Canis lupus familiaris: one gene and its partners. The protein of the gene in region 3 interacts with the protein of the main gene of each other region in a pairwise test. Links are inferred from orthologs where the notes say so. Each region holds a gene or a part of one and is shown on either strand. Other genes may lie near its edges. The genes, in order: FMR1, ESD, FSD2, SPATC1L, BRD8, CORO1A and CCHCR1.

Evidence for each region.
Region 1: the proteins of FSD2 (region 3) and FMR1 interact in binary tests that used the Homo sapiens proteins (3 or more experiments, as listed by UniProt). The link is inferred for Canis lupus familiaris from reciprocal best matches to the Homo sapiens genes FSD2 and FMR1.
Region 2: the proteins of FSD2 (region 3) and ESD interact in binary tests that used the Homo sapiens proteins (3 or more experiments, as listed by UniProt). The two-hybrid records come from large-scale screens. The link is inferred for Canis lupus familiaris from reciprocal best matches to the Homo sapiens genes FSD2 and ESD.
Region 4: the proteins of FSD2 (region 3) and SPATC1L interact in binary tests that used the Homo sapiens proteins (3 or more experiments, as listed by UniProt). The two-hybrid records come from large-scale screens. The link is inferred for Canis lupus familiaris from reciprocal best matches to the Homo sapiens genes FSD2 and SPATC1L.
Region 5: the proteins of FSD2 (region 3) and BRD8 interact in binary tests that used the Homo sapiens proteins (3 or more experiments, as listed by UniProt). The two-hybrid records come from large-scale screens. The link is inferred for Canis lupus familiaris from reciprocal best matches to the Homo sapiens genes FSD2 and BRD8.
Region 6: the proteins of FSD2 (region 3) and CORO1A interact in binary tests that used the Homo sapiens proteins (3 or more experiments, as listed by UniProt). The two-hybrid records come from large-scale screens. The link is inferred for Canis lupus familiaris from reciprocal best matches to the Homo sapiens genes FSD2 and CORO1A.
Region 7: the proteins of FSD2 (region 3) and CCHCR1 interact in binary tests that used the Homo sapiens proteins (3 or more experiments, as listed by UniProt). The link is inferred for Canis lupus familiaris from reciprocal best matches to the Homo sapiens genes FSD2 and CCHCR1.

The regions. Positions count from the first base shown.
Region 1 is NC_049260.1:117,357,649-117,361,943, forward strand, and holds the start of FMR1 (synaptic functional regulator FMR1), read left to right. Parts: upstream 1-1,401; 5' UTR 1,402-1,483; coding exon 1,484-1,534; intron 1,535-4,295.
Region 2 is NC_049243.1:4,524,807-4,528,497, forward strand, and holds part of ESD (S-formylglutathione hydrolase), read left to right. Parts: intron 1-1,395; coding exon 1,396-1,563; intron 1,564-3,660; exon of another isoform or gene 3,661-3,691.
Region 3 is NC_049224.1:55,110,147-55,114,587, reverse strand, and holds the start of FSD2 (fibronectin type III and SPRY domain-containing protein 2), read left to right. Parts: upstream 1-1,559; 5' UTR 1,560-2,045; exon of another isoform or gene 2,046-2,080; intron 2,081-4,441.
Region 4 is NC_049252.1:39,453,873-39,458,329, reverse strand, and holds the start of SPATC1L (speriolin-like protein), read left to right. Parts: upstream 1-1,615; 5' UTR 1,616-1,739; coding exon 1,740-1,941; intron 1,942-4,457.
Region 5 is NC_049232.1:25,859,407-25,863,097, reverse strand, and holds part of BRD8 (bromodomain-containing protein 8), read left to right. Parts: intron 1-550; coding exon 551-687; intron 688-1,221; coding exon 1,222-1,440; intron 1,441-1,838; coding exon 1,839-1,983; intron 1,984-2,861; coding exon 2,862-3,071; intron 3,072-3,476; coding exon 3,477-3,691. UniProt on the Homo sapiens protein: May act as a coactivator during transcriptional activation by hormone-activated nuclear receptors (NR). Isoform 2 stimulates transcriptional activation by AR/DHTR, ESR1/NR3A1, RXRA/NR2B1 and THRB/ERBA2.
Region 6 is NC_049227.1:18,327,123-18,331,276, forward strand, and holds the start of CORO1A (coronin-1A), read left to right. Parts: upstream 1-1,248; 5' UTR 1,249-1,407; intron 1,408-2,971; 5' UTR 2,972-2,972; coding exon 2,973-3,170; intron 3,171-4,154. UniProt on the Homo sapiens protein: May be a crucial component of the cytoskeleton of highly motile cells, functioning both in the invagination of large pieces of plasma membrane, as well as in forming protrusions of the plasma membrane involved in cell locomotion.
Region 7 is NC_049233.1:980,919-984,356, reverse strand, and holds the end of CCHCR1 (coiled-coil alpha-helical rod protein 1), read left to right. Parts: intron 1-82; coding exon 83-271; intron 272-384; coding exon 385-486; intron 487-492; exon of another isoform or gene 493-827; intron 828-1,035; exon of another isoform or gene 1,036-1,240; intron 1,241-1,891; coding exon 1,892-2,043; intron 2,044-2,149; coding exon 2,150-2,318; intron 2,319-2,569; coding exon 2,570-2,682; 3' UTR 2,683-2,834; downstream 2,835-3,438. UniProt on the Homo sapiens protein: May be a regulator of keratinocyte proliferation or differentiation.

The DNA of each region.
Region 1 (4,295 bases), on a different chromosome or scaffold from region 3:
GTCACTTCCCAGTTCTGACCACCCCTGTCCCACCCCAGACTGGGTCCTGGCCACTATCATAGGTGTATCTAATTCTTCACAGCCCTTATCGCAGTTGCAACTCCACATTTACTTTTCTGATAATTTATGTCCATCTATGCCTCTACGTTCCTAGGTGAAATGCTGGCAACTTTTCTCTTTTTATTTCTCGCTAGCACTTAGCACAGTGCCTGGCATATAGCAGAGGCTCAATAAACGCCTCCTGTATCCTACGGAGTACAGGCCTTCCAAAGGAAACCTAGGTCAACGTGGATGCAAGCTCGGTGCAGAAACAGGAATAAGAAAGAGCTGAGGTTTGTTGTACTGTGGGGGGGTAAAGAGGGAGCGCTGCACCGAAAACAGGCGCACTGGCCCCTGCAGAGAGGTCACCTGACTGCTGTACACATGCGCACACTCCACCCTCCTATTCAGGGTGGGCATACAGTAGGGGCCAAACAGTAGGAAAATAAATTGTAAAGAAATTTAACGAGTGTTTTAAGACATTTTTTTTTTTTAAGTCAAGTATGGAACTGAGCCGAGGGAAGTACACGGGTCAGTGCTGGGTCTGAGGGCGGCCTGACATTTCCAGAGGTCCTGACGCAGTCCGCTGCCCTCAGAGGGCACAGGATGTAGCCACAGGACAGCCCAAAAGCTCTTGCGGAGGGAGCGGCGTTACTCTCACCTGCTGCCTCTAAGGGTCACACAAGGCTGGGTCACCGTGGAGGCCACTGTTACTAGTTCAAAGTCGTCTTCAGTGTGATTCTTCACCTGTAGTCTTGTCCCCTCCTCCACCCCCAGCTCAATGAGCCTCTGCCCCACTTAAACGAACCCTCCAACCCAAGGCAGCCCAGACTCGGATACGTGCATACACGTGACGCTACGCGAGCACCGTTCCCACGCCTCTGCTTGACCTTCTACAGGCAAAGGCGCTCTGGCCCTCGCCGGGCGACGCCAAGCGACGCCAAGCGCCGCCGCCTCGGCCAGCGGCGCAACCTGTCACCGCCCTTCCCGCCTTCCCGCCCTCCACCGAGCCCGCGCACGCCGAGCCCGCGCGCCTTACGTTGGGCCCGGCCCCCAGCCGGTGCCTCAGCTGCACGCATGCGCGCGCTCCTGGGCCCGCGGGGAGAAAGAGGGCGGGACCGTGGGGCCAAGCCCGCGGGGGGAGGGGCGGTGTCGGTCACGTGACGCGGTTTCACTGTTTACACGCGGAGCGGTCGGAGCTTTCGGCCTCAGTCAGGCGCTCGGCACCGTTTCGGTTTCACTTCCGGTGAGGGGCCGCCTCGGAGCGGGCGGTGAGCCGACGGCGAGCGCGGGTGGCGGCGGTGACGGCGGCGCCGCTGCCGGGGGGCGTGCGAGAGCGCGGCGGCGGCGGCGGCGGCGGCGGCGGCGGCGGCGGCTGGGCCTCCTGCGCCCGCAGCCCACCTCTCGGGGGCGGGCTCCCGGCGCGAGCAGGGCTTTCGAGAAGATGGAGGAGCTGGTGGTGGAAGTGCGGGGCTCCAATGGCGCTTTCTACAAGGTACTTGGCTCCAGGGCAGGCCCCATCTTCGCCCTCCTTTCCCTCCCTTTTCTTCTCGGCCTCGGCGGGAGGCAGGCCTGGGGCCCTCTTCCCGAGCGCCGCTCCCGGGGGCCAGGGAGCACTCGTTGGGATGTTGTTTGGGAGAGAAGGACTGGACTTCGGGCCTGTAGGAAGCCCCTCGAGCCCCGCTGCCTCTCCTGCGAGAGGCCCCGGTGCCTGTGGGAATGAGAGCGGGCAAGGAGAGGAAGGTGTCCTCTCGGGAGCCGACGGAGAGCCGGGGATGGCCAAGGGCCGGCAGCAGGTACAGGATCCTGGCGGGAAGGGCCGGTATCCGCGCGAACTGCCGGCGACGGCTGATTTCCCTTTCCTAAATATCCTCTCCCAGTGGGATCCGGGCCTGACGTGTGGGTAGTTGCTGAGTAGCGGGGGGCGCTTCCGTCGAGCCGCCTCCTGCCTTGCAAAGAGGTTTTGAGATCTCCTTTGGCTTCTCTTTTCCGGTCCAGCATTGGGACTTCGGAGAGCTCCACTGTTCAGGGCAAGGGGTGTGGAGAAAGAGTAGTAAGAAGCTGTAGTCCGTACCGACTCACAATGGCAACTGATTTTTGGTGGCCTCTCTTTGTGGATTTCAGAAGAGATTGTAGATCCAAAAGTTTCAGGAAGACCCTGACATAACCGAGTAATGCATTAGAGAAGCTCGTAATCTTAAATATTCGCGTTCCCTCTCCCTTGTTATAAATGCGGCCAAATCCAGGAATTCAGATGCTTCAGCATCTAAAAGCATTATAGCAACTCTGCTGCTTAAGGAAAAAAATTTTTAACCCTCCAAAGGCCTTGAATGTATGCCACGAAACTTCAGGCAATTAACTGAGAGTGCATTATTACTAGAGAATTTTAAATCGTGAGTAGAGATAATTGTGTTGTGCTCCAAGTACTTGACTGTCTTCTCTGAATGTGTAATGTTGCAGTCGACGGTATTCAGGTTTTAAATAGACATGCATAGTATTACTGTGGATTTTTCTTTTTTTACGTTACACCACTGCAGATCAACTAATAGCTTAGATTTTCAAAAGGAGGTTTAGAAATATGTTGATGTATCGGTTGTGCATCTGTTGATACATACTTAGTCTAGATCTCATAATTTATAGACTCTTGTTTTCTCTTGAATGTTTCTCTGTAACTTCTGTAGGTAATATCCCACCTTAGTACAGTATTTTGGCAGTAAAAGGTACATATGGGAAGAAGCATGGAAATTAGCTATTGTTGTCCAACACAATTCTTAAATTTATTATGGCATGACTTACACGTTTCAAACCAGACCTGTTTGCAATGGGAAAATTAACAATTGACTTCATGTTTACCAGTTCTGTGGAGATATTTGGAGATCAGCATATTTCATAAGTGGGTAAACTATGTAAACTGTTCATACTTTGAGCCAAAAGATAAAACCTGTAGCTGTAAAAGGAAGAAACCCAGCGTTTATGTTAACATTCTCACCAATATAAAATTGTCTCAGTTGACTCCACAGTCAAAATTTTGGTTGTATTTATTTCAGTGGTCCATAGTGATTCCTGCTAGTTAGTGTGGAATCATCTGGTTCCTAGATTGGTAGTTTTGCTCACTAGATTTGTGGTACTAGCTATAATAAATATAAGTAGGGGTTAATGATTGAGCAGTATTCTAATAGGCCTGTACTATTTGGTAAGATTGGACACCACTGTTAACGTCTTCCAGTGAAGTTTGCCTGCTACAGGAGGGGCTACTAAGTAGCACATCGTGGTGTTGAAGGACATATTGTTCTCTTCCAGCAGCAACGAATGATTTGCTCTGGTGATTTTTCTTGCAAAGTGATTGGAATATAATAAGAATCCTATATCTTTCCTATTAATCCCCCATTTTAATTGTCTTTAACAAATTTGCTTAATTTGAAGATGAATAACAAAAATGGATAGTCCCTTAGTTCCTTGAGGAGAAATGTGAAACTTGGTCAAATATGTGTAGAGAAATTGCTATTACATTTACTTAAAGTTTATTTTTCAGAAAACTTCGAATGGTCTGTATTGGTAGAAAAAGGTTCAAGTTTTTATAGGACTCATTGTTCTGAGTTACAAAAGTAAAGCAAAAAGTTAACCGAGTTGCTTATCCAGTGGGATGGGCAAAAAATATGGGAAATGAAGACCAATAAAAAATGAACTACTGTGGAGAAATGTTAGATTCATGAAAAAATAGGGACCTGTTCATCAAATTGATAGAAAAGCCTTTAAAAAACTGAACAACTCAGATGACTTCAGTATTAGTGAATTCGACTTTGATTTGCCTAACAGAACCACCATATTGCAAGGAATGATTCCCCATCTTCTGAGCACATGGTCCAAGTTTACAGTATAAACTGGATAAAGTATACTTGGGCATATGTGGATTCTTTCTTTGCAAAATAACTAAAGCTCAGGATTCAGAATTAACAGAACCATAAAACCTAAACCCTAAGATTGGACAGCTCATTTTTATTTTTCCTTCTGTTTATTCTTAAACACTTGAAAGTTAGATTTAGTAGTTGTCAGAGCCACTACTTTTGTGCTTAGGTATTACTTTGACTTAGAAAGTTAGTCTGTACACCTTAACCTCTTCTGTTACTTAAGACATGAAGTCCCTTGGATAAACCTCACAAAATCTTTACGAAGTGTTTCCTAAATGCATAATGTTGAAATAAGGTCTTTATTCTAGGGACATCTACCTAAAATAGTATAGTGTTTTGCCTTTTTTT
Region 2 (3,691 bases), on a different chromosome or scaffold from region 3:
AGTTACTGGATTAGAATTCTGTTTTGTTGAGGCTTATATTTTTATTATATTGGAAGAATGCAGAAAGTGATGACTTTTAGGTGCTTTGAGAGCTGACAGTGCATGTACTTTGGTGTCTGGAGTCCTTGCCACTGTGCAGAGCCTATGTGGAGTTCAAGATCTTAGGCCACAAAGGTGATAATGTTTCATATCCATATGGGGCTTAGGTTCTGAATAGAAGTGTTGGGTAAAAGACCAGCTGGTGGGGCACATGGGTGGCTCAGTCAGTTAAGCGTCCAACTTGTGATTTCAGCTCAGGTCATAGTCTCATGGGTGGTGGGATCGAGCCCTGAGTCCGGCTTCCCACTCAGCTGGGAGTTCTGCTTGGAATTCTCTCTGTCTCTCTGTTTGCTCTCCCTCTCTCTACCTCAAATAATAAATATATCTTAAAAAAGAAAGAAGAAGACAAACTGGTTGATAGGATGGGAGAGAAAAAAAAAAGGAAGGGAGAGGCAGAGGCACAGGTAACCTATAAAGGAATCTAATTATATAATTTTTCTCTCGGTGACCGTAGATTTTACCATCTTAAGTATATTGTTTTAGACTATTACTTAATTTCAGAATAAGGAAGCCACACAGAATTATGGAATCACAGAACTTTGAACTAGTTGGACTTTATAGATCTCCTTCCACTCTCTCATAAAATTAAAGCAAGTCTTAAAAAACAGGGTTTTGTCTTGATTGCGCATAGAAGTTGTGACTAGTGAATATATAAAAATAAGAGTACTTAAAGTTGGATGATAAAGTACAAACTTGTAACTGGTGGCAGCTCCTTAGATAATAAATTGGAGGAGTTGTCTATATGATTCAGATTATTTAAATTAAATCTTCCCCAAAGCTCCTAGGGGGATAGCAAACATTGGTGCTGAATAAAAGAAAAGGCTGAATGTATTTAAGTTCAGAATTAGAGCCAAAAAGAAGAGACAACAAAATAGACTATTTATTTGAAATAAATAATATCTAGAAAAAGAAAAAGGTAAGAAAGAAAGTTTCTGGAGGAATTTATAAAGAAAAAAATACCATTTTGTTTTTGTTTTTTGGAGTTGAGAGGTAATTAAAAAGCTCAGAGGTTTAAAAGAAAAGGGTCCAAACTGTGAAGAATTCTAAGATACAAAATTCTCGCCACTGGCCCAGGACTGCTGGGAAGTAGAGAAGCAGCTATAAATGGGACATCGATCTCTGAAGCCCTTACAAGTAAAAGCCAGACAAGACAATGTAAAAAAAGCATTTTTCTGATTTAATCGTCCTTAGAGCTTAAATGACGTTAAATTTCTATTTGGTTCTGCTGTGGTCTATTTTGAAGAACATCTTTCTGGGCACTTTCAAATTTATTTGTCAGTATTTGTCTTTTTCTAGGCTTATGATGCTACCCATCTTGTGAAGTCCTACCCCGGTTCTCAGCTGGACATACTAATTGATCAAGGGAAAGATGACCAGTTCCTTTCAGACGGACAATTACTACCTGATAACTTCATAGCTGCCTGTACAGAAAAGAAAGTCCCTGTTGTTTTTAGATTACAAGAGGCAAGTACTCGGAAACCTCTGCTTGTTCTAAGTAACTATAAAAAAGCAAAATTCCAGGGGCGCCTGGGTGGCTCAGTCGGTTAAGCATTCGACTCTGGATTTCAGCTCAGGTGGTGATCTCAGGGTCATGGGATGGAGCCCTGAGTCTGGCTCGTGCTTAGCTCGGAGTCTGCTTGAGATGCTCCCTCTCCCTGTGCTCCTTTCCCCGCTCGCTCCCTTGCTCTCTAAATAAATAGTCTTTAAAAAAAAAGACAAGATTCCATAATACCTTATATTTCAGAATTTGAAAAGCTACCTCTAGTAAGGTTTTTTTTTTTTTTTTTAATTATAACAAGACACTTAAAGTGAAAGCCTTCTTACTAAGGTAATGATGTCTAAGATCAAATTCCATAGAAAGAAGAAAGCTTTCAGAAGTGAGAAGTATTTGTAATTTTCTGTGTCACTGCAGAACCACTGAATAACAAGAAGCTTCATGCTTGAATAGTGCTTTATCTGCTGCATTTCTGCTGTGTCTGTCTTTGCACATACAGCTGTTTTCGCGTAAATAACAAGTATAACCTCCCACCGTAATCACTCTTCACTTTATGTATACATCTTAGCCTCAGAAGCTGTGAACTGTTTGTCTCACACAAACATAGGCACTTGATACTTTTTGAGTTAGCTGCTAGTCTAGCCATTGTGCTTTGTGGTATTTTTTTTTTTTAATTTAAAAATAATTACTCACTTTCAATTGATTTGCAGCTATTCCTTGACTAAAAGACTTGACTGTCCCCTACTCACCTAGCTCAGTGCTAATATAGTTATAATTAAAGAAACTCGGAAAACAACAACAACAACAACAACAACAACAACAAAAGAAATTCAGCTTTTTTTTTAAATTGCTTATTCATAAGCTTTGGTATGTAATTTAAACAACAAAATATTTCAGGATGAAAAGTGAACACTAAATTACAAATGATTGTGATTTTTTAAAACATTTTTATTCACATTCCAGGGTCATATGTCAGGCACGTTGATCTAAAATGTATAATAATGATGATAAATGTCCAAGTAAATGTAGATCAGTGTATAACGTGTACATTTCAGTTTACAAAAGCTTTTCACAACATTAGCTCATTTTATCCTTATGTAGTCAAATGAGTGACCATTCCTATCCTGTCCATCTGGGGGTTTTGTTTGTTTTTAAGGTTTTTCATAATTTTTTTATTGTGTAAAAATATCATATATAAAATTTACCATCTAACCCTTTTTTTTTAAAGTAAATCTTTATTTACTTGAGAGAAGGACAGATGAGGCGAAAGCATAAGCACAGGGAGGGCCAAAGGGAGAGGGGCAGAGAGGATCCTCAGACTCCCCTCTGAGCACAGAGCCCAGCAGGGTCCATCCCAGGACCTTGAGATCATGACCTGAGCAGAAATCAGCGTTGGCCGCTTACCTGAGCCACCCAGGTGCCCCTCCATCTTAACTAAACAAACACATCTGTGCTATTAAGTATGTTCATAATGTTGTTCAGCCGTCACCACCGTCCATCTTCATAACTCTTATTTTGTAAAACTGAAACTTTATACCCATAAACACTGAATTCCTCCTTACTCCCTCCAACCTTTGGCATCCATCATTCCACTTTCTCTATATATCTGACTTCTTTCAGTGTCTCCTATAAGTGGAATCATATAGTTGTTTTCATAATTTTCTTTTAGATAGAAATGCAGCTGATTTTGGGGTATTGCTTTTGTATTTTATTACTTTGGAATCTTTAGGGTTTCCTACATACAAGATCATATCTACGAACAGAGATCATTTTATCTCTGTTTTTCCAAATTGTATGCCTTCTATGTCTTTTTCTTGTGTAATTGCTCTGGCTAGGATTTCCAGTACTGTGTGGAACAGGAAGTTTCAACAGTGGGCACCTTGTCTTGTTCCTGATCGTAGAGGAAGAACTTTTGTATCTCCCCACTCAGTGTGATGTTTGCTTTGGATTTTCATATATGGCTCCTGTCCATCTGTTTTGCAGGCTTAGAAAAGTATTATGTATGTAAAGTTCATAGGACTAGTTTCCAGTAGAGTCAGCATGGTCATTTGAATGGAAACACTTACCTTCCTGACCTCTGACCATTCCCAGGCAGGG
Region 3 (4,441 bases):
GTGTATAAATAATTGTTATCAAAATAGGTACAATAAAAAATATAAAGAAAAAAGCAAAATAACTCAAAAGTTAAACTCTGCTCTCATTTTGTGTTTATTATTATATGTATTATCATATATTATTATATATTTATATATTATGCTATATATTATATATCATCTATATAATATATATATGATTATGCTGTAATTGTATTTTATACTCTCTTTTTACTTACAGCTATATTGTGGATATTTTCCACATAAAAAATAGGTATTTACATGATTGTTTTTAATACTTGCCAATATTGAGTGTATTGTGGTTTACAAATTCTATATTGATAGTCATAGATTAATTTCAGCTTTTTGCCAATATGCATAATGCTGTGGTGAACATCCTTGTACATATATATCTTTGCGTAAATTTTGTCTTTCATTTTTTTTGTTCTGATATTTTATTTTGCTTCTAATATTCTAGATACCTGGCAGTAATGATATTTTTCAAATTACATTTTGATTGAGATTTAAAAAGCAGCAGATGCAAAATTCTGAGATCAAATCACCATAAGGAGACTTTTCAAGGAAATGGTCCAGAACCCAATTCATGCTTTCAGGGGGAAAATTGGTGGAGCCATTTCTCCAGAGAATGCTGTTAGTGGGATGGAGGGAAGGTTGGAAGTCCTGTCCTCTAGGCCCAAGCCCAATGAAGGATCTTCAAAGGGACCCTTCAGAGAGTTTGCTGTATCTCCTGCAGGTGGCCTGAGGTGAGCAGATTGGCTGCTTTGATGGCAGACCCAGGGGAGGTGGCTGCATTGGTTCTGGCAGCATTCCAGAGTTTGCAGGGACCAAGGATGGGCCTGCCTCCTACAATCCAGTTGTAAGCCAGGAAGAAGACAGAGTCAGCAAGGAATCATCATATCCTGCCCAAGAGAGCCAACTGCATGGGTAAGGAGACCTCATTTGAGAGATCCTGGAGGTGGCCCACCAGAGCCTATAAGGAGAATGCAAGGGACCCCCTGGAAGAGAAGCGTTCTCAGCCTGGTTATGGAAACCTGGGGGGAAAGTCTCCATAATGGAAAACTCCAGAGATGTAAAAAACTCTCCATGAGAGAGGGAGGGAGAGTGTAGACACACACACAAGTGCACAATAGAGAGCTCTAAGCACCTGCCAGCCCAGAGAGCCGGAAGATAGCACCCATTGTGGCATTAACTCCAATAGGAGCCATCTTATCACCTTGGCGCCTCCTGCCCTGGCGTTCCACCAGCAGCTCAATAAGGAGGTGTGGGGAGAAGAGGCCGATCTCTTTCCTCCTTTCTGAGGGCAGACTTCCAGCTAAAGAGGCCCAGACCGGGTAGGGGAGAAGATTTTGATACTGGCTAAGCAAAGTCTGACTTTTACATTAATATTCTGCACTATACATTCAGTTGCTGAATGCAGACTATGCCTTCACCCTTGGACTGAATGTCACCTAAGAGGGATCAGAAAGTCATGGATCTGCTGGACTTTTTTATCCACTGAGGGAAATAATTCCCACTGTGAGTAAATGTTAAAGGAATGGTGGAAGAAAAAAATATTAAGTTGCATCTGATTGCCTTCAGAGTTGTGCTTGTTCAAAACGCTCTTGGAATAGAGCGTCAGGTGGAAGATGCACCACACAAGGGCCCTCAGATGCCCTCCCTCTCCACATGCCCTGCAGCTACCCTCCTGACCCTGCTGTGGCAGCCTCCAGCCCTCTAAACATGACCAGCCATTGGAGTAGCTCAGTGGGTCTCTAGGCCTCAAATCCTCCCAGTATATGAAGAAACTCAGAGGACAGCATGTGACCTCTCCCGGTGACACTTGAGCAGCAAGAAGTGGCAAGAGAGCCTAGGCAGGTCTATATTTGGGCTTTCACTCATGGCAGGCCTGTTGCTATTTGCAGCAGGAAGCCAGCTCATGTTACCATCACCTCTGCACCCCAGCTGCAGAGTCCTGCTGTGAGACAGTCGGAGGCAGCCCTCTGGGGCGCACAGGTAACCCAGAGGGAGATCCTCAGTTTTCCAGCCATCATCCAGAGACCTTGGAGGTAAAAGGAGACCCTGTGGACCCTTAAATAAGCAGGCAAGTTTTTGGATAATCATAGTCTTCTAATGCAAAGGGTATTTTATTAGAAACCCCGTAACTTGATGCCACAATGTTAATGCAAAATCGTTCCTTTAGGGAGAGAGGTATCATCTTAAACTGCAGAATCTTAAACTGTGAATGTCTTCTGTGCCTTCCAGTAGCATGGATTTGCCTTGCTAATACAACGTAGTGTTGGTACAGGGTGTGGAAGCCCCTAAACAGATAGAGGCTGGCCGTTCTTAAAATGTACCCATAGAGTATTTTTAGTGCGGGGGCCCATTTGCTAGAACAGTTTGGAACCCTAAATAGTGTTATCCTCTGGCTCCAGTGACCAATTGATAAATACATCTTGTTTTAATCTGTGTGGGCATCCCAAGAAATCAGAATTTCATGTTTTGATTGACATACGGGAAGACAGGACTATGATCATTTTTCACCTGTTATACATACCCCTCCTCCCATGGAAAGTTTCCAGGTTTGGACCGTGTCTGTAAAAGTTGATTTGAGCTATTTTGCGTAACTGCACAGCCAACACTTTAAAGCAAAGTTTCTTCAGCTGCAGCTTGGGAATTTCTAAGAGCTACACAGGTGAGCTTCTGAAACTATAGGCAAAATTACGTTTGTGCCCTCATGGGCTCACTTTTGGGGAGAGAATTAACACCTTTCAGTAGATTCCCAGAAACTCTCGTGCCCTATAGAAGGTTAAAAATCATTTTTGTGAGGGACTTTTCCTTTTTTCTTTCTTTTTTTTTGTGGGGGACTTTTCTAATTAATGCACTGGGGTATACCTCCCACATAGACAGCAAAAGTCTGTTTTCTTTGTAACTGCAGCCCCATGGCCTAGAGTAGAAGCTGTCTAGCTACTCTATTCTTTATAGGCTGTGACCTATTTATTTCTCTGAGGTTCAGTTTCATCACTTATGAAATGACAATTTATTGGTAATGTTCCTTCTCCCTAGATTCTGAATATTTTGGTAAGACACTAAAAGAGTCTGAGCGTTGAGGAGGAAAGTGCATGGCAGCTGTGGAGGTGTGTTGCAAACCTCCTGCTTGGGTGCCGGGTGCCCAGACCAGTTTGTTTGTCTGTCCAAAGGGGAAAGGCTGGCACAAAAGAGTTTGTTCCCATTAGATTTGTTCTCAATGTTTTCCAGTCTTCTTGCTTGTAGGACAGTTCAATTTGGTTTTTCACCCTTCAGTTTCCGGTTGAAAGAATTTGTCAGCATGATTTATTGGTAATACAGAATTCTGGTTTTCTCCCTTTTGGTGGCACACAGAAATGTGTTAGTTTTAGCAGGCTGCTCCAGGGTCTGTAGGCAATATGGTGTAGTGGAAAACTGAGTCTGGATCCATCTCTTTACCTGCTGGATTATGTGTCCAGCATACAGCACAGGGCCGGACACAGAGTAGCCCTGGGTCACCCCTTGTTAAATGAAATTGGGCCTGGCAAGTCCTTTCTCCTCACAGAAACTCAGTTTTGCCATCCTAAAATCAGAAAGTTGAATTAGATGCTCTCCAAGGGAACTTCTACCCCTAGAGGGTCTATACCTCAGCATAGGCCCCTTGGAAGCTCATGTTGTGAGGACCAGCGACCTCACAGTGGATGTTTGTGCCTGGAGATGAGGCTCTTCTACTCTGGTGCCTTCTCCCATCTTTGGTTGTTTTCAGGGGATGGAATGATCCCACAGCGGCTGCAGGGCCTCCACTCTGCCATGGCTACTGTGAGTCTTCACTTTCTGACCCCCATCCTCTCCTTTCGTGGGTGCCCTGTGGGAGAGGCCAGGGTCCACATAATGATACTAACAGCCACCCCCACATTAATAACAGCAACTGACACGTACTGAGCACTGACTTTGAGCCCTGGGCTAGGCAAAGCATTTTACACACATCATGTTATTTCATCTAAATGCTATCTTTAGGGTGCACCTGGGTGGCTCAGCGGTTGAGCACCTGCCTTCAGCTCAGGTCATCATCCCCGGGTCCTGTGATCGAGTCCTGCATCAGGCTCCCTGCAAGGAGCCTGCTTCTCTCTCTGCCTATGTCTCTGCCTCTTTCTCTGTGTTCTCATGGATAAATAAATAAAATCTTTTTTTTTTAATGCTATCTTTAGGAGGCAGGAAGCACAATAGGCCCATTTCATGGGCTCATGACAGTAAGACCCTGAGAGGTGACTTTCCCAACGCTACCACGATAAGAAGTAGCAGAGACAGAAAACAAGCACAGAGCTTTCTGAATCCAGAGGGCAGTGGCCTTAGAGAGGGGTTAAGGGTGGGGTGAGGGTGTTCCCTAGAGATTGAATTGATAGAACCAGAATCAGCATTAATTGGGTATTGGTTACCTGGGTGATGTCAAGGATGAGCT
Region 4 (4,457 bases), on a different chromosome or scaffold from region 3:
TGGGGGACTCCCTGCGGGGAGCCTGCTTCTCCCTCTGCCTCTGCTCCTTCCTCTGGCCATGTGCTCTCGCTCTCTCTCCAATAAATAAAGCCTTAAAAAAAATAGACCTTGAATAACAATAATGTATATGCGCCTAATAGCAGAGCTTCAGAATATAGAAAACATAATGTAGCCGGAGAGGGAATTTGATAAATATACAATTTAATGGATTTCAACATTGTCTCAGCAAGTGTGGACAGAACGTGGAGCCAATTTGAAGTCATGGGCATTTACGGGACGCTTCACCTCCTCCTTTTCAAGAGCTTCTGGACCATTCACTGACACGCCATGCGGGGCGAGTCAAGAGCCATCCCACGGGGTTGAAGTCATCCGGTGGATTCTCTAAGCGTAATGGAATTAAATCAGAATTCAGTAACTAAGAGATAGGAAATCCCACATATTTGGAAATTAAACAATATGTGTCTAAATACCAATGGCCCAAAGGAAAGTACAGGGGAAGAAAACTCTTTGAAGCTGAAAGAAAAAACAATGAGGTAAGAGCTTGCGGGGCGGCCACGGGCTTCCGTGTTGATGCCGCAGTAAGGCCTCGAGCTGGTGGCCTAGGCGCCCACTTCCAGAACCTAGAACCCGAGTAGGAGGACGGAGATGCCGACAAAAGTCCAGCCCGGGCGGCAGGAAGCACAGTGGGAAGGTGACCCTGGAGGCTGGTGCTCCAGAGCGTCCACAAGCCCGGGGTCTGGTCGGGTGAGGCCGAGGACAGGATGCCGGGTGCCCCGCAGCCAGGTCACCCGGGGGCGACCGGGGGTCAGCCTCACCTGGGCCCTGGCCCACACACGTGCTCGTCTGCACACACCTGCACCCGCACCCCCGCCCGCACCCCTGCACCCCCGTGGCTGCCGCCCCAGTGCACCCGGCTGCCCCCCGTGGCCGCATCCACATGTCCTCGAGGCGTGAGCAGCTCGCCCAGGGGCCAGGGCCAGACAGTGGGGAGGTCGCCGCCCTGCAGGGCCCCGGGGCAGCAGGTGGGCTGGGGTCGTGGGGTCCAGGCCGCCCGTGCCCAGGACGGAGCCCCCAGTCCACGGCCCTGTGCCTGTCGGGGTCCTCGGTCAGGTCCCGTGGGTCAGGGTTCCGGACACGCAGGAGCCGAGTTCGGGGACAGCGGGGTCGGCGGTGCCCCTGCCCAGAGCGCCTGCAGGGCCGGCCCGGAGCTGCGCCGACTCCCTCTGCCCCCCCCCCCCCGCCGCCCTCCTGCCTCAAGGGTGCGTCCCCGGGGTGCACGCCTGACCTGGGCCCAGGTCCTGGGGACCCCGCTGACCCCGCGGGGGGGGACAGCCACCGGAGTCCCCGGAGGCCTGCGCACGCCGCACGACCCGGCGCCATCCTTGGCCCATAATCTCGGCAGTTCCTGGGATCCAGAACATTCCAATGTGGGCTGGCTGCCCTCTGTCCGGCCCCCGGCCCCCCGGCCCCACCCCGTGCCCTCCGCGGCCTGGGCCCCGGTGGGAGGTGTCGCTCGGGCCAGCGGCTGCAGTGGGCAGGCCCGGCGCCGCAGGGTGACTGGGGTGACGGGGGTGACGGGGTGACCAGGGTGCCGGCTCTTTAAGGGTGACATCACAAGGCTGCGGAAGGCCGGGCGGCTGTGGGGCTCCGGGGCCTGGGCTGTGCCCGAGCGTCTGCGGGCTCTGGGCTGCCACCTCCATGGGGCCGCAGGCCCGCCCGTGAGCCCCCGCGCCACGGCCATGGCCGAGGGGAGCGAGCTGATGAGCAGGCTCATGAGCGAGAACGCGGAGCTCAAGAAGCAGGTGCGCCTCATGAAGGAGAACCAGATGCTGAAGCGTCTGCTCAGCGAGAGCTGCCAGGAGCGCGGTGGCCTCGGGAGCCGGGACCTGCTGTTCCCCCGGGCGCCCACGTACCCCGAGGACTGCTCCCCCGGGAGCGCAGGTGAGCCGCGGGGGCGCTGATGCCCGAGGCCTCCCCGGGAAAGCGGGGCCGGGACCCCCTCTGCCGTGTCCTCGGCCGAGGCCTCCCTCCCGGCCCGCGGGCCCCACGGACGACATGGGGTGGCGCCGCCCTCAGGCCGCCTACTGGGTGGTCTCGGCGCCTTCCTGGCTGGGACCCCCCTGCGGCCCGGGGGTCTCAGGACAGGCCCGGGCGGGGGTGCGGGGGCTGGGGGAGGAGGCGCTGTCGCCCACGAGGTCAGCTGGACACACCCCAGCCCGCCAGCCTGAGCTCCCGCAGCGGCCACGCTCACGCCTGCCACAGGGACCGCCCGGGCCACGGGGCCTCGTGCCCTGGGACACCCCACAGCGGGTCAGGGCGCCCCCTCGGGCCCCAGGACGGCCCGGTCCCAGGAGATGGGTCCGGCGGGGGCCCCCCCAGGGCTCAGAGCCCCCCCGTGTCAGCTGTGGTCCTGGGCCCGCCCCGCCGTCCCTCCATCCTGCACCCGCGGGTCCCCAGTGACGGGCACTTGCGGGGGGACCCGGTCAGGGCGGGGTCCCTGGGACGGCGGCGCCCCCCGTGCTCACGCCCTGGGCCCCGACCCTGCAGGACAGCAGGCCCTGGCCGGGGAGGCGGGGAGGCCCTGCTGCAGGGCCGGGGCCCAGGTCAGCGGGGCGGCGGCCACCCTGGGGGGAGCTCAGCTCTGGTCAGCGCCCCCATGCCCGGGGCTCCGGACGCGCCTCAGGCCCCCCAGGCTCTGCGCCCCAAGGCCCACGGTTCCTACTGCCCCTCAGCGCCGCCCTCTAAGCAGGATGCACTTTCGAGCCCGTGTCCTTCACTGGACAGCACGCGCCGGTGGCCGAGCGCCCCCTCGCCCGAGGGCCGCACCCGCAAGGCCCCCCCCCCCGGGGCAGCCGCTGCTCACCCACCCGGTTCCTCTCCGAAGCCCGTGGACGGTACGTCCGCGCTCGTGGGGGCTGGGGGCTGGCCGGGGTCGCTCCCGCCGGTTCACACGGAGCTGTTGGAGGGGCGCCACCAGGCTGTGGCCTCTACCGCCCCCCGCGGCCCCCGCCCTCCCCCCGGACACCTTCGCGACCCCCGGGCCACACCGCGCTCCGCGGGGTCCCCAGGCTGCAGGCCACAGGGCTCGTGTGTCGTGGGCCCCCACTCATCCCGCCCTCGGGCCCAGAACCCGGAGGGGCCCTTCCGGAGCTTCTGCGGGGGGAGGGAGGCCGAGGAGCGGGCGCGGCTCAGGGCCCCCCTCGCGGGTCTGGGCTCCGGGCTCCCCGCGGGGTTTCTGCGACGATGCGACATGATCTCTTCCCATCGATCGTCAGCGGGGGCCGAGGTCTGCACAGTGCCTGCTTCTTGGACTGGACTGAGGATCGAAGATAGCGGGTGCTGTTTGTTTTTTTTGTTTTGTTTTGTTTTAATGTTCACACACCTGTGCTGGAGTCACAGGAGGGAATCGGGGCTCAGCGAATAGGAACAGAGAGCCCGAGCCGGCTGAGCCCACCGAGGCCCCGTGGGTGCAGGGGGGGCCCCCCTCGGCTCTGCCCCTCAGCTCTGGGCAGCCCGTGCTCAGGGAGTCCTGAGGCGGCGGCGGGACAGTCCCGGCTGCTCCGGCCGCTGCGGGTCGGGACGCGAGGCAAGACACCTCCAGGGGGCTGTTCTTCTTTTGAAGTTTTGTTTTTTTTTTTTCTGGGAAAACATCTCCGAAGGTCGATTAGTTGGCTCCCGAGGAGGTACATTTTAGGATATGATGTTTCTTTTTCTTTTAGGGTTTTATTTATTTAAGGAATGTCTCCATCCAGCTTTGGGCTTGAACTCACAGCCCCCAACATCGAGGGGCAGCTCCTCCCACCGAGCCAGCCGCCACCCCTGCAATTTTTCATTATAGCTCGGAAAAAACACGGTTTCTCAAGAATGTGTTTGCCTCTCTGGTGGGAGGGAGAACCAGTTCACCGTATGAGGCTAGAAAGGGGTCTTGTGAATCACAAGAAGAATCAGTACTTTGAAGGTGACCGCGGGTCATACCTTCTGCGTGACAGTCACTAACCCTAGCGCCCTGGAAGGAGGCGTTGACGAGGGGGACAGAAGGAGCTGCTTCAAGGATGTGAAACATGAATCACCCCCCACGGTCCCCCCAAAAAACCGAGTAGAGAAAAGGCAGAGATAGTCCAGAGAATGAAACCCGAGGGGGGTGAGCACAGGACACGGTCACCAGGGTCGGGGGCGGGGCGGCTGCTGAGGGGGAGCACGAGGAGGCCCGACGGCGCACACCTGGGCCCGGGGAGCGCGGGGAGCACGGCGCGGTGTCTGGACGAGGGAACCGGGACTCCTCCCCGAGGCTCAGCAGCGCAGTGGATGTGAGACTCGCCGTGTGCGTGCATGTGTGTGTGCCTGTACGTGCGTGTGCACACACGCGCCGGGAAGCGGGTAAATGTATCCGGTAAGCTACCCGATGACTCAACGGCGTGTCCCCGAGGTTCATGCTGCCACCCCGAGGTATGTGGCAG
Region 5 (3,691 bases), on a different chromosome or scaffold from region 3:
CTCTTCTTTTACCAGAATAAAAACATTCCTTTATATCCAGGAAAAACTCTTGGAATAGGAGTTCTGCTAAGTTCTCACTTTTTGTCCTTTTAGGATGCAAAGGCTTTATAATATAGATGTTAAATATAATTAAGTTTTTAGAATTCAAAGCCCTGTAAGAAGATTAAGAAAATAGTCCATTTATTGGATAAGAACTTAAACATTTGTAAGTTTAGGAATACATCCTTTGAGCCAGTGAAGTCGTTCCCTCGTGTTAAAAACAGAATATTAATTATTAGTTGAAGAAGATATTGAGGAATGTTTAAATCACTTTCCTACTCCAAGGACCTTTGAGACAGTTCAGTGAGTTTGCTTATGTGAGAATTCTGTTTAGGAAAAACAAGTCTAAACAGTTTTCTGGTCTTCCAGAAGTATTAAAGATTTCTAATCCTAACTCCTGTTACTGCTTTATGCAACATCTCCATATGCCCTTTATTATATAATAAGACAGTAGAGTCATTTCATGTATTTAATCTTAAAGATTTAGTAATTGTTGTCTCTTACATTCTAGCTCGTCAAGCAGTAAAAACACCCCCTCGGAGATTACCCACTGTGATGGTCCGCTCTCCTATAGATTCTGCCTCCCCAGGAGGTGATTATCCACTCGGAGACTTGACTGCAACCACTATGGAAGAGGCCACCTCTGGAGTGAGTATATTTTCATCTGTAGGAATTGATCAGCAAAGGGGCAATAAGCCAGCAGAGAGCTGAGTGATGAGGAACCCTCTTTTGGCCGAGAGGCAATTTCCTCTCTTGGTCTGAATGCTAAAGACTTTAACTTACCATGTTCTGTGCTCTAAGATAAGAATGGACCTAAAAACATTGAGCCTTTTGACCTTTTGGGAGATAGGTAAAATATTAAGGAATTGTTTGTAAGTAAACTAGTCTTAATAAAATTCCTGTAGAAATAAGGGATAGTTTTCTTGTAAATAGAATATTGGCAGTGGTTAAGCAGTTTGTGAAAGGCAGGTTGGGTGGAATTTTTGGGTCATTGTGGGTTTGAGTGGGTGGAAGAGATAAAACAGGAAGAAAGGAATGGCTGAGAGCAGGAGGTATAGAGGGTTTCTGGGCAATTTCACTCAGGACTAATAAAGTAATAGTTAGACACACTAACCCATCCAGATTAGTAGGGAACCTTCCATAGTTTGAGAAGTCAGATAAAGGTTCTCTGTTGTCTCTTAGGTAACCCCTGGGACTTTGCCGAGTACCCCAGTCACCTCGTTTCCTGGGATTCCTGACACCCTTCCTCCAGGCTCTGCACCCTTAGAAGCCCCCATGACCCCAGTAACAGATGATTCACCCCAGAAAAAGATGCTTGGACAGAAAGCAACTCCACCCCCCTCCCCTCTGCTGTCAGAGCTCTTGAAGAAGGGCAGCCTCCTGCCTACTAGCCCCAGACTGGTATGGAGACTTCTGTGGGTGTTTGAGAGCTGTGGTGATTTAGTACTTTGGAAGGGAGTGCCTGGGACCTAAAATATGACATGGAAAAAAAAAAAAAGTTCAAAAGAGAAAGAGATCTCCTAATTAAATGTTAATTAAAAAAACAAAACCAGAGACAAAAAACCAGTAAGTTGATAGTATCCTTGGGTCCTGAGTTATCTGAAACCACAATTACTTTGGTTCTCTTCTCCAGAGAACTCTTGTCAAATAAGTGTTAAAAATTAGAGCTTCCCTTGGGTCTGAAATTATTCTCTTTGGTTATTAACTTCATGAAGTTTGATCATCTGCTGGAACTTTTTTGGGAAGTGGTAGTAAAGGAAAGCTTGAGTGTAGCCTTCATCTCTGTTCTTCCCTGGTAGGTCAATGAGAGTGAAATGGCTGTGGCTTCTGGCCACTTGAACAGTACAGGTGTCCTCCTGGAGGTAGGCGGGGTTCTTCCCATGATACATGGTGGGGAAATGCAGCAGACACCCAACACTGTTGCGGCCTCCCCTGCTGCCTCAGGTAAGTCAGCATTTTTCCATTACTTACTTTACTTCACAGATGTTGATCATAGTATTGACTGTCTTTGGTTTCTAGCCTTCGAAGTAAGCAACTGTCAATTGTAGATGTGAAGCCTAACTTTTTTTGGAGCTACTTAACCTGTTAAACCACATAGTGCCTCAGATTGTAAATCTATTCTGTCTTCAAAATACTGATACCCCAGAATGACCACAGCATAGATATCAATGAGAAAAATTGTGAAGTTACTAGTGAAGCTGCTTTTCTGGGGCTTGCAAAATTATGGAAAGGTGCTAAAGACTACCTGAGGTTAAAGTACAGGAGAATTGGGATTTGGAATGTCAGGCCTGCCACATACTGATTCTGTGGCCTTGGATAGGTGATTTAACTCCTGAACATCAATGTGCTCTTTGATTAATTGCAGTATGTGTACCTCACAAGGATGTCATGATGATTAAGTGAGATAGAAAAAGTAAAGCAAAAAAAAAAAAAGTTTTATAAAATATCAAACTTTAGATATGGATATTTGAATGGTGTTGAATTTGGATGGTTTATAGCATGCTTAACTGCAGAAGCGACAGATTTGTTCATACTGGTTTTTCATGGCTTTGTTGATACTAATTAATTTTCTTCTGGGGAAAAATTACCACCCGTTTTTCACATGCATTGTGTGTCTAGTGCTTTTGGGTCATTCCTAACTTGGAAGAAGATCTTTATTAGTAAGATTGGAAAAAGAAAGGATATAGATAATGAGCTTAATTCAACAGAGGAGTTCCTTTCATTCTTTGAGACTGAAAATTTTCTTGGTTGAGTCTTAAAGTGGCGATTGCTTCTTGTTCACGTGCTTTCCTCTTACCTTATTTTGTGTACCTCTTTGTTAGGTGCTCCCACTCTTTCCCGGCTTTTAGAAGCTGGTCCTACACAGTTCACCACTCCTCTTGCTTCCTTCACTACTGTTGCCAGTGAACCTCCAGTTAAACTTGTGCCACCCCCTGTAGAGTCTGTGTCCCAGGCTACCATTGTCATGATGCCTGCGCTGCCAACACCATCCTCTGCTCCGGCTGTCTCCACTCCTGAGAGTGTAGCTCCAGGTGCGTCCCTGACCCACGCCCTGAGCAGCCACTAGGTCCAAAATTTCATCTTGAGCTTCAGTTAGAGAAAGCTGACCCAAGAGGATCGATTCCAATTCAGATGCTTCTGTTCTCCATGGACATGTACCATCTTTATCCTTAGAAAAACAAGAATGAGAAGATGTGGGTGGGCATTTACATGTTGAGGGGAAAGGACTAAGTATACATATGAATGGGCTTGAGAAAGTGTTCTCACCCTACTTTCTAGATAAAACCGGGGACAAGAGAACATATGAAGATGTAGATCTAAGAGAAACTTTTTCTGAGCTTAAGTGTGTGGGTACTTGATACCTGTCTATAGCTTTGGTTGATCTCCAGGTTGTCACTTGGTATCAAATGAAATGCTTTTCTCTTCCTGTTACTCAGTGAGTCAGCCTGACACTTGTGTCCCCATGGAGGCTGTGGGGGATCCACATACTGTGACTGTTTCCATGGATAGCAGCGAAATCTCCATGATCATCAATTCTATCAAAGAAGAGTGTTTCCGATCAGGGGTAGCAGAGGCCCCTGGGGGGTCAAAGGCTCCCAGCATAGATGGGAAGGAAGATTTAGATCTGGCTGAGAAGATGGATATTGCTGTG
Region 6 (4,154 bases), on a different chromosome or scaffold from region 3:
GATGGTCACTACTAGTGCCAGTCTTATAGCCAATCTTATAGCCGGTCTTATAGCTTTTTCTTGCAGCTTCAACCAGTCTGCTTCTGATTACATAGCCTTGAATCAAGTGCCCATCCTTAAACCAATCAAAAAAGATTGCTTGACTGGGGAACTGTGGCCCTGTGCCCACCCTGGACCCCCTCTTGAACTTCAGGGACTGCCAGTGAGGAAAGGTTGGTCCCCCAAAGGAAAATCCAGAGGTGGCCGTCAGTAAAGAGGGTTTGGTAAGATGGTGGGCCAGCAACACCCAACAGATACACTGTCCCAGCGCCCCTCATACGGAGCTGTCAGCCCAAATACCCAGTGATCATGGGGAGAGCCAACATTTATTAAGCACTTGCTACACCCAAGAGGAGGTGCATAAAGCTTTGCTTCCCCCTATAACCTCTCGAGTTAGGTAGGACTCTTACAGAGGGAGAAACTGAGGCTGAGGGAGGTTAAGTATCCTGCCCTGGTCACTCAGTAGTGTGACAACCAGGAGCCAAACTCAGCAAGCATCCTGATTCTGGAGTATGCCTCTCTTGCCCTCTGCATTGCCACCTCCCTGACGCCTTCTCCAAATCCAAGGGCGACGATGGATTCCTCCTTCCTCTTGAGTGTGCAGTCTGGCTTCTACTCTGCTTGGCATCCCTGGAGCCCTCCTCTCCTCTCCCTCTGGGAGGCTGAGAGCCCTCTGGGGGCAGGAACCTGACCCTGACTCATTGACCTCTGCCGCTCCTGCAGGAAGAAGCCTCCAGAATGCCAGAGTAATTCATTTGTTCCCTGTGAGGTAGGCGAGGCAGAGGTGCTCCAGGGTGAAGACCTGAGATGGCAGAGAAGTGACTCTCCCGAGGCCACGGTTTGTAAACGGAGGAGCCTAGACGAGACCCCAGGGCTCCCCTCCTCTCGGTTCCTCGTCTGGGAGTGGTGGGGGGGGGGCGAGGAAGGCAGCTCAGCCTTAGCTGGGGGTGGGCGTGGGGGCCTGATGGGCGCTTCTGCGAACGCCAGGGACAGGATGGTGAGTGGGCTGGGGACGGACTGAAGGAGGGAAGAAGGAACAGGGTATTTTTGCATTTTGACATTACAAAAGTGCCGATTAGATTGTCAGCGAGTGGCCGGCAGCATCTGTTTGGGTTGGGAGTTGGCAGGCGCGGCGGAGCGCGGCGGAGGGCGGGGCGGCCGCGGGCTGGGGGGCGGGGAGCCCTTCAGGAGCTCCGCCCAAAGGGGCGCTGCCACCCCTAAGGAGGCGGGCAGCGGCGCTTCTCATTCATTGTCTTGACAAGAGCATCCTCAGCGGGCAGCCTCTGGCTCCGCCAGCGCCTTCCTCCTCCTCTTCCTCCTCCTCCTCTCCCTCCTCTATCCGGGGGGTCCCTCCTCTCTCAGCGGCAGGTAAGCCCGGGTCCCCGGGCGAGGCGCCGGGCATCGCTGCCCTGGGCCACCTGTGGGGCAGGCGTGAGCCGGGCGGGAGGCGGCCGCGGGGGCGGCGGGGCTGTCAGCGCGCGGCGGGGACCGGGGACGGGGCCGTGCGCGCCGCGCGTGCAGGGGGCTCGCCGGGGGGCAGGGGGTGCGCGGGAGGGTCCGTCTGCGCGTCCGGGGCGCCGTGAGCAGGCGGGGTGAGGGACCACCGCAGCCAAGATGGAGGTGGGGGGCGGGGGGCTGGCTCGCGCCGGAACGGGCGGCGGGGGCGGGGGGGCAGGGTGGGGTGAGCCGAGCGGCTGCCCTGAGCTCCGAGACAGGAAGGGGTTGAGAGCAAAACAAGAAAAGACCAAGTTCCCCTTTCCGCGGTTTCTGGGCCTGGTACCTGCAGTGGGGGAGGAGGCGGGTGGGGCGATGGCTTCCTGTTCCCCAGCCTTGGCTTCGGGGCTACCCTCGCTCCAGGCCCAGGGTCTGACCCGGGACTGATCCCTCTGGCCCCGGACTGCTTCTCCTCACACGTGCTCCTCACCTGCTGTCTGGGCAGGTGGGCCCGGAGCCTCCCGGAGCCGACCAGGGCCGACCAGGGCCGACCAGGGCAGCGGGGTGCCCCGCGAGAAGGGCCAGGGCCAAAGGCAGTCTAAGGGGTGAAACCGAGGAGGGGGTAGAGGCCTGGCGCCCACGCTGAGCAGGGAGGTGATGCAGTTGGGCTTCAGGATGGAGCCTGGAGCCTGGGGAGCCAGAGGCAACACCATCCTCTTCAGTCGCTCTCTGACCAGCCAGGTGGGAGAAGCCCCGCTGGACCTCAGGGAAATCAGTGCCACCTCTCCCTGTGCATAGTTCCAGAGCAGGTGGAAATGGCACTTAGGGGCACCTGCTCAGGCAGACTCGAGAGGCAGAGGTGTGGGGAGGAGAGAGTGGGACCCAGGCCATTTGCCTGTTTCTGGTGCCCAGACACCTGCTGGGGAGGCCACCCTGCCTCTGATGACCTGCCTCCTGGGCAGGTCAACGTGCTGCTTCCCCCTGGATGCCTAGCCCCGTGCCAGGAGGTGAGGGAGGCCAGCCCTGCCCCTGCCTTCAGGAAGCTCTCTGTGTGGGTGTGAGCAATGTGAGCTGTGGCTGCTGTGATGGAGTGAAGCTACCCTCCAGGCTGTGCCCCCAGAGGGTGGGAGGGTGAGCCATGGAGAGAAAGGGCTGTGTCTGGCAGCAGCCGACAGATGGGCTCTTGGTGCTACTGCCCCCACCCCACCCCCAGGCTCTGGAATAGAGGCTGAGGGTACAGACCAGAGGCCTGGGTGGGCAGAAAAGGTAGGCCTTGCAGGTTTGCCAGGAGTGACAAGGGGTGAGGAAGGTGAGCATGAGGGCAACAGGATGGTAGTTACAGAGGACGGAGCAGGGAGCCCAGGAAGATGCTGGGGAAGTTAGCTGAGACCCTAAACACCAGCTGAGGGGTGTCCTGGGGGGACATGGGGAACACTCTAAGGTCAGAGTCAACCTGAAGGGAGAAAGGCCCTCAAGCCCACGTGCCCCTACCCCCCAGGATGAGCCGGCAGGTGGTCCGCTCCAGCAAGTTCCGCCATGTGTTTGGACAACCAGCCAAGGCTGACCAGTGCTATGAGGATGTGCGTGTCTCACAGACCACCTGGGACAGTGGCTTCTGTGCTGTCAACCCCAAGTTCATGGCCCTGATCTGCGAGGCCAGTGGCGGAGGGGCCTTCCTGGTGCTGCCCCTGGGCAAGGTGAGCCCCTGGAGTCCTTGGGGCAGTAGTCTTCCACTTGAAGGGGCCTCTGATCCTGATTAGGTGACTGTCACCAGGCCTTCTGGGGCTGCAGCATTGTCATATGTAAAACTGAGCTGGGCCACATGAGCCTTAAGCCTCCTCCAGCTCCAACATGCAGTGGTCGCATGGAAACTGAAGCTCAGGTGACACCAGAAAGGTCATATAGCGAGTCCTGCAGACCCAGGGCCAGGTGTCCCAAGTCTTAGCCCAGGGACTTCTCCCCTCTGGAGCACAGCCTGGGCTCCATGGGGTCTGGGCAGACCCAGTGGTGCTCACGGGGTGGGAGGGGCTTGGGGCCAGGCCAGTCTGAGCCCCCATCACCCTCCAGAGCTCCAGCCAGTTCTGGCCCCGGGCTACAAGCAGGGAGGACATGAAAGGCCCTCTCCCCTCCCCCAAACCTGCCTTCCCTCTGCTTCTGCTGCTCACAACCCCCCTTCCGCTCTGTTGACCCCCACCCCCAGCACACTCCTTTGCCTTGAGGGGTGAGACAGGAAGGGGACATGGGCCCTAAGTTGTTACCTTAAAAGGGCTGATGAAAGCCAAGAGAAGAGGAAGTGGTTGTGGGGCGAGAGCTGGGTGAGCTCTTCACACAGGAAGCCCTGTGGCGGCAGCTGTCCCCGGAAGCAGCCATTTCCAAACCTTTGCTCCTGCTTGGGGCCAGTTATGACAGACTTCCCCAGTCCCTATCCTATTGGAAGGACCCATCCCCATTCCCACACTTCCTGGGGAATCCTACCCTTAATACAACCTCCCCTGCCCAGGGCCCTGGCCTATCATCCCCTGGGAAGCCTGGTTCAAGGAAGCTGGGGTGGGAGTGCCAGCCCTCAGGGCATCGGCAAGAAAGTGGGGGTAGAGATGTCAGGAGTTGGCCAGTAAGGCAGGACTGGGGCCCAGTGTGTCCCTGTTACCCAGCCCTGCACTCCTGTTGTGCACTTCTCACGG
Region 7 (3,438 bases), on a different chromosome or scaffold from region 3:
GCAGGGGCCAGAGTTGGGTGTGTTGGGGAGGGAGGAGTGGAGTCTGGCCACGGAGAGACCTTTGAGTGCCATCTCTTCCCAGGGGAGGCGGAGCGGCAGCAGCTGAGTGAGGTCGCCCAGCAGCTAGAGCAGGAGCTGCAACGCACCCAGGAGTCCCTGGCTAGTGTGGGGCTGCAGCTGGAGGCTGCTCGCCAGGGCCAGCAGGAGAGCACAGAGGAGGCTGCCAATCTCCGGCAGGAACTGACCCAGCAGCAGGAGCTCTATGGGCAAGGTGTGCAGGATGCGGAGTCTGTTTACCACGGAGGGCTGTGAGGAACGGAGAAGCAAAGCTTCCTCTGACACATCCCATCTGCACCCCCGCCCCCCCCCCCCCCCCCCCCCCAGCTCTGCAAGAGAAGGTGGCTGAAGTGGAAACCAGGCTGCGGGAACAGCTCTTAGAAACAGAGAGGAGACTGAATGAGGCTCGGAGGGAGCATGGCAAGGCAGGTGAGATTTGCTTGGGTGGCTGTGGTCGTCCGGGGAGAAGGCAGTGTTGGACATAAGGGTTTTTTGTTTTGTTTTTTTAAGATTTATTTATTTGTTCATGAGAGACAGGCAGAGAGAGAAGCAGGCTCCCCACTGGGAGCCTGATGTGGGACTCAATTCCGGATCCTGGGATCACGCCCTGAGCCAAAGGCAGGTGCCCAACTGCTGAGTCACCCAGGTGTCCAAGGATCTTAAAGCTGTTTTTGAAGTATGCAAATAATGAAGTTACCAAGAAATGGCACAAATACATTCTGAGGCGGTGAACACACTCCTTCAGCCAGCACACATAGGAGCACCAGCAGGTGGCCAGCCCTAGTGCCCCCTGAGCCCTGCCCAGCCACCCCCCTCCACAAGGCCACGGCCATCCCAACCTCACACCAACCATTACCCCCAACTTTTTTCTTTTTCTTTTTCTTTTTCTTTTTCTTTTTTCTTTTTTCTTTTTTCTTTTTTCTTTTTCTTTCTTTTTTTTTTTTTGCCTTAAAGCAATAGAAAATTGTTCTCTTACAGTACTGGAAGCTAGAAGTCTGAAGTCAAGATGCTGGCCAGGGTTGGTGCCTACTAGAGGTTCTGAGAGTCTATTTTATGATTCTCTCCTGCATTCTCATGGTTGCTGGCAATCAGTGGCATCCCTGGTTTGTTGGCACATCATTCTTTTGTGTGTCCATCTTTACATGATGTTCTGTGCTGCACGTGTCCGTCTCCCAACTTTTTTTTTAAAAGATTTTGTTTTTGAGTAATCTTTACAACCAGCATGGGGTTCAAACTTACCTAAGATCAAGAATCATGTACTCTACCGACTGACCCAGCCAGAGGCTTCCCCTCAATGTCATAGTAGGGAAAAGTTCAAATACCTAGCCAAATTACAAGACTCATGCAGTGCCCACTTGTGTACTTCCTCTAACTAGATGCAACAGCTATTCATCTATTTTTTGTTAAAGATTTTTTTTAAAGATTTTATTTATTTATGAGGGACATAGAGAAGCAGAGACACAGGCAGAGGGAGAAGCAGGCTTCCTGCAGGGAGCCGGATATGGGACTTGATCCTGGGACCCCAGGATCATGCCCTGAGCCAAAGGCAGGCACTCAACAGCTGAGCCACCCAGGCGTCCCTAACCTCAGTGTCATTGGCACACATTAAGAAGACATTGATTGCACCAAATTGAATATTCAGTACACATTCAGATTCTCCCTAAATGAGTCCAGGAAGGTTCAGGGATGGGGTTGTGGAGCATCAGCCACTGTGCCCAGCATGCAGAAGACATAGCCCCCCAGTGTTCTGCCCACAATTCCAGCTGTTCTCATGGTGCCTCACTACCTCTGGGTTGCCCCACACCTGTGCCCTCTGTACCCTGGCTTCCACTAGTGGTCTCCCTGCGCCAGATGCAGCGCAAAGCCACCTGGGAGAAGGAGCGGAACCAGGAGCTCAGGCGCCTGCAAGATGAGGCCCGGAAGGAGGAGGGGCTGCGGCTGACCCAGCGCCTGCAGGAGCTAGAGAGGGACAAGAACGTTATGCTGGTAGGGGGTCAGAGACTGGGCCCTGGAGCTGCCTGGGGAGTAGAGGCCTCATTGGGGAGGGGTGGCTCTGCCCGGGCTAGGTGGCATTTGACCCTCTCCTTCCCAGGCCACCTTGCAGCAGGAGGGTCTCCTCTCCCGTTACAAGCAGCAGCGACTATTGGCAGTTCTTCCTTCCCTCCTGGATAAGGGAAAGTCTGTGGAGTCCAGCCCCAGGGACCCAGGGTCTTCAGCAGCTGTGCCTCTGGCAGCACCCACCACCAGGGAGTCCATAAAAGGTAATGGTCTAGGTAGGAAGGGATGGATGGATGTACAGGACTTAAGGAATCTCTCCTCCAGGTGCTCTTAATGGTGTGAGCATTTTTCTCCATGACCTTTGGAGGCCCACAGCCCCTCATCCATGCCCACCTTGGGCCAGAGAACACCCTCCCTCATAACCCTCCCATCTGATGGCAGTCCTGTTCTCTGCAACCGGAGCTGCAACAGCCTTGTCTGTCTGGCTGCTATCCCTGGGGGTCTTCTTTCCTAGGATCCCTCTCTGTCCTGCTCAGTGATCTGCAGGGCCTGAGTGAGGCCATTTCCAAAGAGGAAGCTATTTCTCAAGGAGGCAACCCGAACTGTCCTGCTCCAGTGTGTGGCTGAACAGCTGGGGACTCTGCCTCTGGGGGCTCAGGGTGAACAGCTGGGGACTCTGCCTCTGGGGGCTCAGGGTGGGGGGCCGGCCAGCTGCCCTCGTGGATACCAGCCACCAGGATGTCTGAATGCTGTGGCTCAATAAAGGTGATTACAGTGTGCCATGTTTTCTCTGGGACTGAGAGGGAATTCCCCTGCAGCCATCTCCATCCACCCGGAAAATGCGAGAGGTGGTCCCCAGCTGTTTTCTCTAGGTAGTGCCTTTCTCAAAACCCCTTCCCCAGGCTGCTTGAGAAGTTTCTGGCAAGCCCCAGGTTTTCTTTTTCTCAACTTTTGTTTTAAAACTCTACTTCTGGAAGAAGACCACTGCCCAGAGTGAGGAATATAAAACATCGCTCATTTGCTCAGAGTCAGGCAGTGTCCTCGCTCAGGGGCCATAGTGGTGGGCTTGCTGAGTGGGTCCCTGCTGCCGAGGCACTGCTGTCCTGGTGGTAGAGACAGATGATGGACAGGTACCTAAGTGAACGGACGGGCGTCCTTGGGAAGAGAAAAGACATACAAGGTGATAGAACCTGACCAGGGAGGGGCCGCCCGATGCTGCCTCCCTGAGGAGGGGCTGTGTGGAGGACCTGCCTGAGGTGGGGAAGCAAGCAGCGGCGTTGGCTGGAGTCCTGCAGATGGCAGGCTAGCATGGAGGGGGACCTGGTGGGGTGCGGGTTTTATTCCAGGTCAGTAAAAAGCCCTTGGAGTACTTGTAGCAGGGAT